3 linked regions of the Arabidopsis thaliana genome follow. The protein of the gene in region 1 interacts with the protein of each later gene in a pairwise test. Each region holds a gene or a part of one and is shown on either strand. Other genes may lie near its edges.

What was found.
Region 2: the proteins of AT4G08460 (region 1) and AT5G58720 interact in a two-hybrid assay, tested with the Arabidopsis thaliana proteins (one large-scale study listed by BioGRID).
Region 3: the proteins of AT4G08460 (region 1) and UBC29 interact in a two-hybrid assay, tested with the Arabidopsis thaliana proteins (one large-scale study listed by BioGRID).

What each region holds. Positions count from the first base shown.
Region 1 is NC_003075.7:5,379,213-5,382,968, forward strand, and holds the start of AT4G08460 (hypothetical protein (DUF1644)), read right to left. Parts: upstream 1,671-3,756; 5' UTR 1,319-1,670; intron 1-1,318.
Region 2 is NC_003076.8:23,721,452-23,725,207, reverse strand, and holds the start of AT5G58720 (smr (Small MutS Related) domain-containing protein), read left to right. Parts: upstream 1-2,032; 5' UTR 2,033-2,233; coding exon 2,234-2,873; intron 2,874-3,062; coding exon 3,063-3,088; intron 3,089-3,212; coding exon 3,213-3,299; intron 3,300-3,395; coding exon 3,396-3,466; intron 3,467-3,756. Other genes in the region: Mik (pfkB-like carbohydrate kinase family protein), read left to right, coding at 1-768, 1,405-1,581.
Region 3 is NC_003071.7:7,265,591-7,269,346, forward strand, and holds UBC29 (ubiquitin-conjugating enzyme 29), read left to right. Parts: upstream 1-2,131; 5' UTR 2,132-2,289; coding exon 2,290-2,359; intron 2,360-2,460; coding exon 2,461-2,588; intron 2,589-2,773; coding exon 2,774-2,878; intron 2,879-3,003; coding exon 3,004-3,147; 3' UTR 3,148-3,465; downstream 3,466-3,756. Other genes in the region: AT2G16730 (glycosyl hydrolase family 35 protein), read right to left, coding at 1-20, 106-201, 297-515. UniProt on the Arabidopsis thaliana protein: Accepts the ubiquitin from the E1 complex and catalyzes its covalent attachment to other proteins.

The sequences.
Region 1 (3,756 bases):
AGAATCCCCAAAACAAGACTCCTCACTCTTCCGAAGGGGAAATGCTCAATGAGATCTCTAAACTATGACTTCGACATGAATTCAACATATAAACACTCATAGACGAGAATCTAGATTTCTAGAACAAATGTTTTTTAAGTATGAGCAGTTATCAAGTAAGTCATCAAAACGATATCCATATCCAAAGCATTATTATGATACATAGTTCAATGGACCAAGGTACTATCCAAATCCAAACATCACGAATATAAATCAAACTCCAAAACATGAAAGCGCTAATCCAAATTCCAAGTTGTGAGACACTAAACAGTACACACGCTTAAGTTCCCTTTGATACATCTAAGTGTTCTTTCATTTATATATTCGAAGTAATCTGGATCCAAGATTCCATGAATCAAATTCCAACTTTATAAGAGACTCATGGGAAAAACAAAACTCAACATATCCATTAAACCATAAAACAAAAGAGTCCATCACATAAAAACCTATTTTCATGTCTACACTGTATAATTCAGACTCAGAAATAGGCTAAAGAACACTCACCTACGGAAAACAAATTCGATGGATCCAAGTTACCCACTAGTTTCAAGATTCTTAAAAGACCAAGATCACATTCCTAAGCTTAACTATCAGCTTTTCTCTGCTTAGCCCCGGAAAGATTTTGAGAAAGCGACAATACTCAGACAATCCTCTCTCTCACTTCTCAAAATAAAGGGTCTTGACTTAATCAAAGGAAAATTTTGGAAATAAGCCCACCACCAGTTCTCTCCATACAAAATTAAAACAATGCTACATAATCTCATCCATTAAATTTCACTAATCTAGTTATAACCAAATGATATACAATTTGTCAGTGAAACAATTTACTATACCAAAGATGCTAGCTACTGCTTCTTTAAACTCAGGATCTCTAAACAAAAGGTGCTACTAGAGCTAAGACACATGAAAATGACGGTTTTTATCGCCAAGATTGATAACATTTTCAATAGTATGTATAATTAATCAAGTGTGGTGAAATAAACAATCCCAATAGCGAAGCTATTGTTCATACATAAACACAAGCACGAAAGAGAGTAAACTGTTACAAAGTTTTGACTTTTGACAAATTCGCATAGAGAGTCAAGAAAAAGTCGAGATCTTTGTGTCACCAAAAGCATAAGAACCAATAAGAACAAAAAACAATAGAAATGATTAAGCCAGAAAACCTAGAACACAAATTCGTGAAACCCTAAATCTCAGAACAAAACAAAGATCGATTTCGCAAGATTTAACAGATCGACATCATATGAGATCGAAATGATTACAAAATCGAGCTTACCAGGCGATGCCGGTGGTTTTGGTTACGGAGATTGCGGAGGAGACGGCCTTAAGTGGCGGTCTCAGCGGCGGCGATAGATGTAACCTTTGACGGCCAGAGATTGATGTTTGTTTATATATTAAGGCTTTAGCTTTTTGAGATCTGATTGTTAAAAATATTGTTAAAGGCCCATTTGTTTAATTCTCTGGGCATTTAGGCCTCTTCTTATGCTTCTTCTTCTTTTCTTCAGTATCTAAATTTAGTACTTCGGCTTCCTAAAATTTCTTGAATATTAACCACCATTTCACATTCTTCAATTAACCATAGAAGTTAGAACGGCTTAGGCATAAAAACCGGAACCGAAGAACCGAACCAAGCCAAACCGAAAAAGGAATCCGGTTCGGTTCTAGATAATACTAAATATCCTCGAACGGATTTCAGTCACACTATCCATTGAATATTATGTATAACTGAACAAACCGAATATCTATGGAAATCCAAAATCTAACCAAAAAATATTTGGTCAACCCTATACAAAACTACATCTAAGCCCACTACATTTTTAACAAACCTATAACCCAATAGAGTTTTGTTAATTTTTTAATATTTTACAATTTTGTTAATCGAATATTTGGTTATTTCGTTTTTTTTCTTTTTGGTATTTTGGGTAAAATAACCGGAACCAAACCGGTATCTATTAGAGTTCGGTAATTTCTCGGCTTTCTTTCTAAGTATCTGAACCAAACCGAAACTTTTTCGGTTCCCTCGTAGATCTTAAGAGGCTATAGAACAGAAGAACCGAATGCCCAGGCCTAGTATTTATGTATTTAATTATTATATAAATATATTCAAATATTTGAATTATTACATAAATTTTCCCAAAATATGCAATATTTTAACAAAAATATGCGACAAGAAGACACAACCGCAAAAGTAATCGTAAATAATATTAATGAAAAGTTACGATAAAAAGACGTAACCGTTCAGAATCGAAAAGATACGACTAAAGTTGAATAAGTATAACTGTCCACCAAAAATAACCATAAATATATTAACGAAAAGATACGACAAAAAAACACGACTGTAAAACAAACATTAAATATTTTAACGAAAAGTTATGATAAAAAATGCAACCGTTTAGAAATGCAAAAACATTTATTGAGATTGTTATTGCTATTAGATTCCAAAAAACTTTGGTTAGATCAAGAACTAGAGGTATTATTTTCATATTAAAATGATGTATGTAAGTATGTTTATAAATAGTTTAGAGAGTAAAGAATGTGGAGCCGTTTTCCAGATTAATGTTTTTGAATTGATCATTAAGCAAATAATATGTGTGAATGAACAAAAATATGGTTAGGAAGAAAGACAAATATAGAGTTCAACCGACTTTGAATAAACAACTTTGTTTATCCGAAAATAGTGACAAAAAATGCAAAGAAATCTAATGAAGAGACGTAACTTTAAATGAATAGATGCAACAATAAAGACACAACCGCAAACTGAAAAGATACGACTGTAGTTGAACAAATATAACTGCAAAAAAATTAACCGTAAATATTTTAACAAACAAATACGATAAAAAGATGGGAGATTTGCAAAACTATCATTTTTCTACTACCTTTTGCAACAATACCCGTTCATGTTGTTCATTTTTAAAAATACTCTTTCCCTTGAACATAATGATTAAATTACCCTCATCAAATAGGAACATGTAATTGGAAACTGAAATTTTCCCGCCAAAAAAAAAATTTCGCCAAACTTTTTTCCCGCAAAAAAAAATTTCTCGCCAAAAAAAAAAAATTCCCGCCAACTTTTTTTCGTAACAATTTTTTTCTGAGCCAAAAAATGCTTTTATAAATCCTTGTAAATTTTTTTTGGCGGGAAATAGATTTACAAGGGATTTTAAAAGAGTTACAAGATGTTTAAAAGGATTTAAAAATACTTACAAGGGATTTTAAAAGATTTACAAGGGATTTTAAAAGGGTTTAAAAGATTTACAAGGAATTTTAAAAGAGTTTTAAAATATTTACAAGGGATTTTAAAAGGTTTTAAAAAGATTTACAAGAGTTTTTAAAGGGTCTTCTTGTAAATCTTTTAAAAACTCTTGTACATCTTTTAAAATGCTTTTAAAATCCTTTGTAAATCTTTTAAAACACTTTTAAACCCTTTTAAAATCACTTGTAAATCCTTTAAAATATTTTTAAACCCTTTAAAACTCTTTCAAAAACATTTGTAAATCTTTTAAAACCCTTTAAAATCCCTTGTAAATATTTTAAAACTCTTTTAAAATCCCTTGTAAATTTTTTAAAATACCTTGTAAATATTTAAAACCCTTTTAAAACAATTTTAAACCTTTTAAAAATCTTTAAAAAAACATTGTAAATCTTTTAATGCCCTTTAAAATCCATTGTAAATCTTTTAAAATCTTTTGTAACTCTTTTAAAACCTTTTTAAAA
Region 2 (3,756 bases), on another chromosome or scaffold:
GTCGTAGCTGAAACTCTCGGCGGCGCCGCCTCTTTCATATCTAATGTCTTAGATTCTTCCTCTGTCTCCTGCGATTTGGTCTCCAAAGTAGGACACGACTTCAGATACGAGGTCACCCACTCTCCGATCGTGGCTCCGGAGAAGGAAACAACAGTTTTCGAGGCGTATTTCGATCTGGGAATCGATGGGATCGGTCATGCTGATCGGGTGTTGAAAAGAGTCTCTGCATGTGATCCGATTCTTCCTTCGGATATACCCGATTCGAGATTTGATTTCGGAATGGCCGTTGGAGTCGGCGGCGAGATTTTACCGGAGACGCTTGAGAAAATGGTGGAGATCTGTGACGTTGTTGCTGTGGATATTCAAGCTTTGATTAGGGTTTTTGATCCTGTTGACGGAGCTGTGAAGCTTGTTGATTTGAAAGAAAGTGGATTTTATCACATCTTGCATCGAATTGGATTCTTGAAAGCTTCGTCAGACGAAGCTCTTTTCATGGATGTTGAACAAATGAAGCACTTGTGTTGTGTGGTGGTGACTAATGGTGAAAAAGGGTGTAGGATTTATCATAAGGATGATGAAATGACGGTTCCTCCGTTCTTGGCGAAGCAGGTGGATCCTACCGGTGCCGGAGACAGCTTTCTCGGAGGTTTGATTGTTGGGCTTGTTGAAGGTTTGACTGTTCCTGATGCTGCATTGTTAGGGAACCTCTTTGGTTCCATCACTGTAGAGCATATTGGTCAGCCAAAGTTCGATTTGATGATGCTTCAGGTTTGTTTTTTGGTCTCGTATTAGCTTACTGAATTGCATGCTGTGAGAGATTTGCAAATCTAATAGACAGTAGTAAGAACTTTTAGAGCCGATGATAGTGATATGCAAATGTCTTTAACATAATCCTAGCAAAAGAACTCTGTTACATCTTGCAGCTTACTTTCAATACAGCCAAACCTATATCTTGCGGGTGAACTAGAATCTGTATTTGATGTTGATAGGTTTCCAATCTGAAAATGTGTCAAATCTTCACAGTTGTTGTTTGAGATTCTGTCGAGTCACAGCTGCTGAGAGAGTCTTTTCTTGTTTTACTTCATTGTTAATCTAGGAGCAGTTTCATTCAACATAGGGTAGATGCAGGAAAAAGTGTTGTTTAAGCATTCACCGAACAATGTGGTTAAGCAATTAGAGAATTCAAAAGTATGGATCTCTTGATGTATTTGCGAGTGTTTCTGTGTATCTCTTGTAGTTGTATCTGTTGAAATGAGGGCGTTATTGGATAATAATTGAACCATTGGCTAGTGCAAGTGAACATTAAGCAAATTAGAAGATTTATAGCGTTTGTGTTTGCACTGCACAAGGATTCATCCCTTTCATCGGTTATTTCTATGTGACATATGTCTTTGTGATTTGCAGAAAGTCAAGGATGAGGTACAGAGAAGGAAGAAGCAGTGTAACATATCTAGCAGCCATAACAACGATCACAACGAGTTCCATGAGCGTCTAAGTCCAGCTCGGTTTTCATGCGTAGACTCTCAACTTCAACCAAAGTTATTGGTCAATGGTCACTCTTGTGATGATCGGTCCCTGTGAATACGAATCTTGAATCACCTTTTTTTTACTAACAAAGCTCTTCTGAGTTGTGTAAGCTTGCTTCAACACGTTGATGAATTTTGGAAATTTTAATGTATAAAACGCGTTGACCAGCGTCTTCAAACGCTCTTTCTGGTCGTTCCCGCAAAGTTTGTTTATCAACTCCGCGTTTCAAAATTCGAAATGAAGATGTCAAATTTTGTTTTAAAAGTTTTGGATAAGATGATTTGCTATTCGCATGTTGCCACATTATCTAGTTAATATAAAAACCAAAAACAAATCTGAGATAAAATTACGAAAGTCAACGTGGGAGATCTAATTTTGACTGGTGCATAGTTGAACCGGTTCAATATATGTACAATCAGGAGGAAACCGTGTTCGGTGTTTGATTCGTGCGCGTGGATTTAAAACGTGGTCACGATCAGGCGCGTGGATTGACGTGGCGATTCCGATTCCCAATCAAAAGTCTGGACGAGCAAAAAATTTCCTCTGATATTGGCATCTCCATTACTAACTCCTGATTTACGGTTAAAACGCCTCTTCCCTCTCTCCGACGCTTCTCGTCGGAAATCTGGGTTTAAGTTTCTTCTGCAGATCGGAAGAGATTCTATTGAAGCGGCGTTGACACGATTTCATCTATAATTGTACGATAATGAAGCAGAAGAACCAGCATAAGAAGAAGAAGAAGCGATCCTGCGCCGCGAAACCTTCCGGTGATGGAACGACGTCGGACGGGAACAAAAAAGATGTGGAGGAAGAGAGGAAGGACGGTGAAGGAAAGAGGGAGATAGAAAACGTTGGAAAAAATTTTATCGAATCGTTAATGGAAGCCTTTTGCTCGGTTTCAATGGAGGAAGCGATGGCTGCTTATAAGGAAGCAGGCGGAGATCTGAACAAAGCCGCTGAGATTTTATCGGATCTGGTGGAAAGCGGTGATGATCCGTCGACGAGTTCGGTGGCGAGTGGTTCTTCGGGTCAGGAAACAGCGTCTACCTCTGAGTATGGGGCAGGGTCAAGTTCTAGCTGTAGCGAAGATTTGACTAGAGATAGATGGTTTAAGGGAAGCAAGCAGAGTAGAGTTATTGCTGCTACAGGGATGGTTTCTTCTGTGATTGCGAAGGATTACTTGAAGCCAAACCCTGTGCGAAAAGAGTTTCCTATGATGGAACGGTCTAAAGAGCTCTGTGGGAACGGGAAAAAAGCTGCGGATAGAGAGAAAGCTGAACAGTTCTTAAGTTCAATGCTTGGAGATGATTGCGAGCTTAGCATGGCTGTTGTTAGAGATGTTTTGTGTGAGTATTTCTTCTTCTTAGTCAGTTAATTTTTCCATGGGAGAAGATGTTAGTAGAAAAGTATGATCCTTAATAGTTATAGGATTACGTTTTAATGTGTCCGCGATATTCGAAATATAGCCGTAATAATGTTATGAGGAGAGACTAGATTGTTCGATGAATTGACATGGAAGTATCTATTTTTTGTAGGTCAATGTGGCTATGATGTCGACATGGTAAGCAGAGATTGTCTTCAAACTTACATGGGGAAGTATTTAGTATATTGACAGGGAAGCTCCTGAAATATGCTGATACTTGCCCGACTATTTATTTTAAAGCTTAATAGCGTTTTCTTCTTAGGCTTTGAATGTCTTGCTTGACATGTCTTCTTCATCAACTGATGATTCATTGAGTGGTAAATGTTTCGGCATAGGAGTCAGCGATAGTGTAAGTGATTGTTTTTTTTGTTAATCTTCATAGATCTGTTTATTTTGTTTTCTTACACGATAAAATAAAGTGCAATCTCCTGACATTATTTAACAGCTGGCAGAGTCATCTTTTGATACTGATACTTCTGATTGTGAACTTTTCTGGGGTGGAGACTATAGTCAAAGGTACTTCTATTTGCTTCTTAGGCTTTCATCTTGTTATTGCAATTCACTGATTTTGGAATTATCAGAGTTGATTTACACGTTAGTTACAAGATAACGAGCTCTCTGCAACCTCTCCTTATCTTTTAATTAGTCCTTATCCTCTTCTATGAAAGAACAACAAACGAACTATTTCATGGTGGAGGATTCAGTTCATGAACACATGATATCTAAATTACTCATGAGACCGCCAAAACTTACATTATGATTTCTTAATTTCAACATTGTGGACGAGGTCAAAACTAAATATCTGG
Region 3 (3,756 bases), on another chromosome or scaffold:
GCTCTACCCGAAAAATTGAACTGTCCCAACAACAAAATAAAAAACTCTTCAAAACAGTGATTTAATCTTTTCTAAAGGTTTTTGTTTGTTAATATTTCAAATTACCTTTCCCTGCTCAGGCTCATGAACGTTCCAAAAAACGTATGTCTGAATCGTGTTCAAACCGCCTTGTTTCGCTCTCTTGATGATGTTTGGCCACATCTGAGCAAAACCCACATCACATATTCTCAAAAATGTAAGTAAAACAAAATTTAAAGATAAAACAACTTTAACTAACGAGTGTATGAATCATTTACTTCAGGAGTGCTACGAGGGTAATGTATGGAGCCAGAGTAAAGGAGTTCTCTATTTCCATTGATGATCAAAGACGTTCCATCATAAGTTACTTCTTTCTTTTTATCGACCGATTTCGTCTTCTTCTCTTTGTCATCGCTTGAGAGAGCTCCAGAGAAGGAGAGGAGAATCACGAGAACGGCTAGTAAAAGCCATGAATGATCAGAAGAATGTATTTTCATTTGACTATCTTCTTCTTCTTCTTCTTCTTCTTGAGGATTTTTAAATTTAAACAAGAATCCACCTAAAGGGATATCTTCCTTGTCAGAGAAATAAAAACTTTAGAGAAAGAAAATGAAATAAGAGAATGTTTCGCAGAGAACATAAGGTTTCAGAGAAATTCACGTATTCTCAATTTGAGATTCCACATTTTGTTTGTAAATAAAACTTCCAATAACTCTCCCTTTTATTTCCTTATTTCCTCCTTTCATTTTGTTTTCGTTGAATTTTCTAATTTTAAGGTTTTTGGTTGAAGAGCCTAATTTGGCGGGTATACACACAATGACTTCTCTCAATCACCACCAAAAAGAAATGTGAGCCAATGCTTATGTTGAGAAGGTGCGTATTACACCAAAAAAAAATGGTTCATACGAAACCAATGATTTTATTTTATTTTATTATGTTCATTATAAACACCACTTTTGGTTCTTCTTTAATTGTGGAAATGTGGATTAAATCCATGAGAGATCTAACAAAAATTTGTGTAACCTGTTATCTAGTTATTATTCTTTGTCTACAAGTTGAGTAAATTTTTTTGCTGTAATTTGGATTATCATCGTTTAAACCTTTAGCTTATTTCTAACTTTAAATATCATAACGGCAAAAATTGTAAAAGCTTTGGTATGCTTCTTTTACGTAAAATACATAAATGTGTTGACCGTGTGGTTGAAGATTGAAAGCAAAGCAAACAACATTTGTTACAAAAAAAATGGCTATTTTTTTAAGTAATCAATTAATCGTCTTTTAAAAAATCGAGACCAACTATTGTTGAGAATTATTTTCCTCCCGTAATCACCATCATAAAATATCGGTTGGGCAAATCACGTAGCATGCATGTACATTAACTTTGGACTAACAGCTGTGGAGTTTCTTCTTATAGCAATATTCAAAAGACCTAATAAGTCTGAAATAAACAGAGGCTTGAAGGTTATACTTAGATTGAAAGGCAATGATTTACATTTACATATATAGGTTGATCAATGACGATCTCTACGATATGTTGTGATATAAATCTTTAAAATAAGGAAATAATATATGCATCACTGATTTGTGGAGTGTTCCTCACTCGACGCCACTCTGATTTGTAAATTTTTTATTGTAAAATTTTAAAGTATGTAAATAGGGCCTATAATTTTTTTTCCTAATGATACATGGGCCTATAATCTTAAGAAACTTTTGAAATGGGTCCTATAAGTTTTCAATAACTATTTTACCTCATCAAATGTATGTTATGATTTATGATTATATTTGTTGAACATGATGCTCATCACCCATCACTTTGCTGGTCCAGTGAACGTGGACAATAAGATTAAGAACAAAGGATATTGTAATAACCATTCTTTATGTTAAGTTATTCTGATTCTCAGACTTTATCAAATCCCATTATAGACCGTTCAATAGATATGGTATATTACAGTAAGCATGTACGTAAGACCATCCACTTCAAGGCACGTCTCTCTTTCAGAATCAGAACAAAAGAATGGATCTTTCTCCATTACCTTTATGGGCAAAGCGGGCGGCTAAAAAGAGACTTTACAATGGTAAATCTTTACTTAAACAATGATAAATGCAATAGTGCAAGCATTCCTGTTTGCAAGAGAATCACAAATCTTTGCTTACGGTTCACGCTTTAAAAACACAACTCTCATTCTCCTTCTCTTCACAAACCACTCATATTTTTTTTCACATACTTCTTTGTAGTGCTACTTTCCATTATATCAAACACTCAGCAACCTGATGGCAACGAGACGGATATTGAAAGAATTGAAGGAGTTGCAAAGAGACCCTCCTGTATCATGCAGTGCAGGTAAAGGATCACAATTTGTTCTTAATACAATATAAGCCATGTATCAGAAATTTTTTCTAAAGATTTTGATATTTCCTTTCTCCTTGGTTTGGGATTTTTAGGTCCAACAGGAGAAGATATGTTCCACTGGCAAGCTACTATAATGGGTCCGAATGAAAGTCCTTACTCCGGAGGTGTTTTCCTTGTCAATATTCATTTCCCTCCTGATTATCCTTTTAAACCTCCCAAGGTAACAACTTTCTCAACAATTTTTTTGTTTTTTAATCTACTTCTTAAATCCAATAACCAAAAGGCACAAAACCAACATTAAATATTGGATCGTTTATGATCTTTTGGAACCTTAAGTTTTGATCTTTATTTTCAATCTTTTTCTTCTTCTTTACTCTTGTTGTTATGTTTGTTTGATAAAATCAGGTTGTATTCAGAACCAAAGTGTTTCACCCAAACATCAACAGTAATGGAAACATATGTTTGGACATTCTCAAAGACCAATGGAGCCCTGCCCTTACCATTTCTAAGGTTTGAAATTCTATATATGTATTTAGTTATTTGTCAATATTTTCTATAATTCCATATATCAGATTTGGTATATAACCAAGAAGCTCCAATAGGTAACACAAATTACTAACATTTTGGTATTATAGGTGCTTCTCTCTATATGCTCTCTTCTAACAGATCCAAACCCTGACGACCCTCTGGTGCCAGAGATAGCTCACATATACAAAACTGACAAGACCAAATATGAAGCCATGGCTCGAAGCTGGACCCAGAAGTATGCCTTGTTTTAAAGCTCACAATTCCTCTTTTTTTCCTTTTTATTTTGGTTTGGTCTTATTTGTAATAAAAAAAGAAGAAGAAGAAATTGTTATAATTTTAATACAAACATATATAATATATAAAGTAGAGTTTTCAAAGTTGTTAACTCATATGATTGATGAGATATCGACATGTATTAAATCTAATTTTGTTAATATATAAAAAATCTTCTAACCCTATCGGGAAAATAAAATATATACATAAATCACAAAAATTATTTATATAATCAAAAAATTTAATTATATTTTATATAATAAAATAATTCATATTATTAGCGAATTTGTTTTTTTTAAAGGACCGTTCAAATATGTTTTTTTGTGTATTTTGTCGAAATTTTTGTTATTTTTCTTTTTATTTTGTTAAAATAACTCTAAAATATAGATTTCAAACAACACATAAAATAGTGAGATGCATAGATAAAGGTTATAATGGGAAAACTCAATAGTATCAAAGATAAATGAGAATTAATTATAGTCATGTTTGTGTAAAAAATTTAGGACAAGTTACTAATATTTAAAGTTTAAGCCTAGTTATTTAGTAAACAACAAAAATAACTTACGTTATCTAACGATATTTTTGGA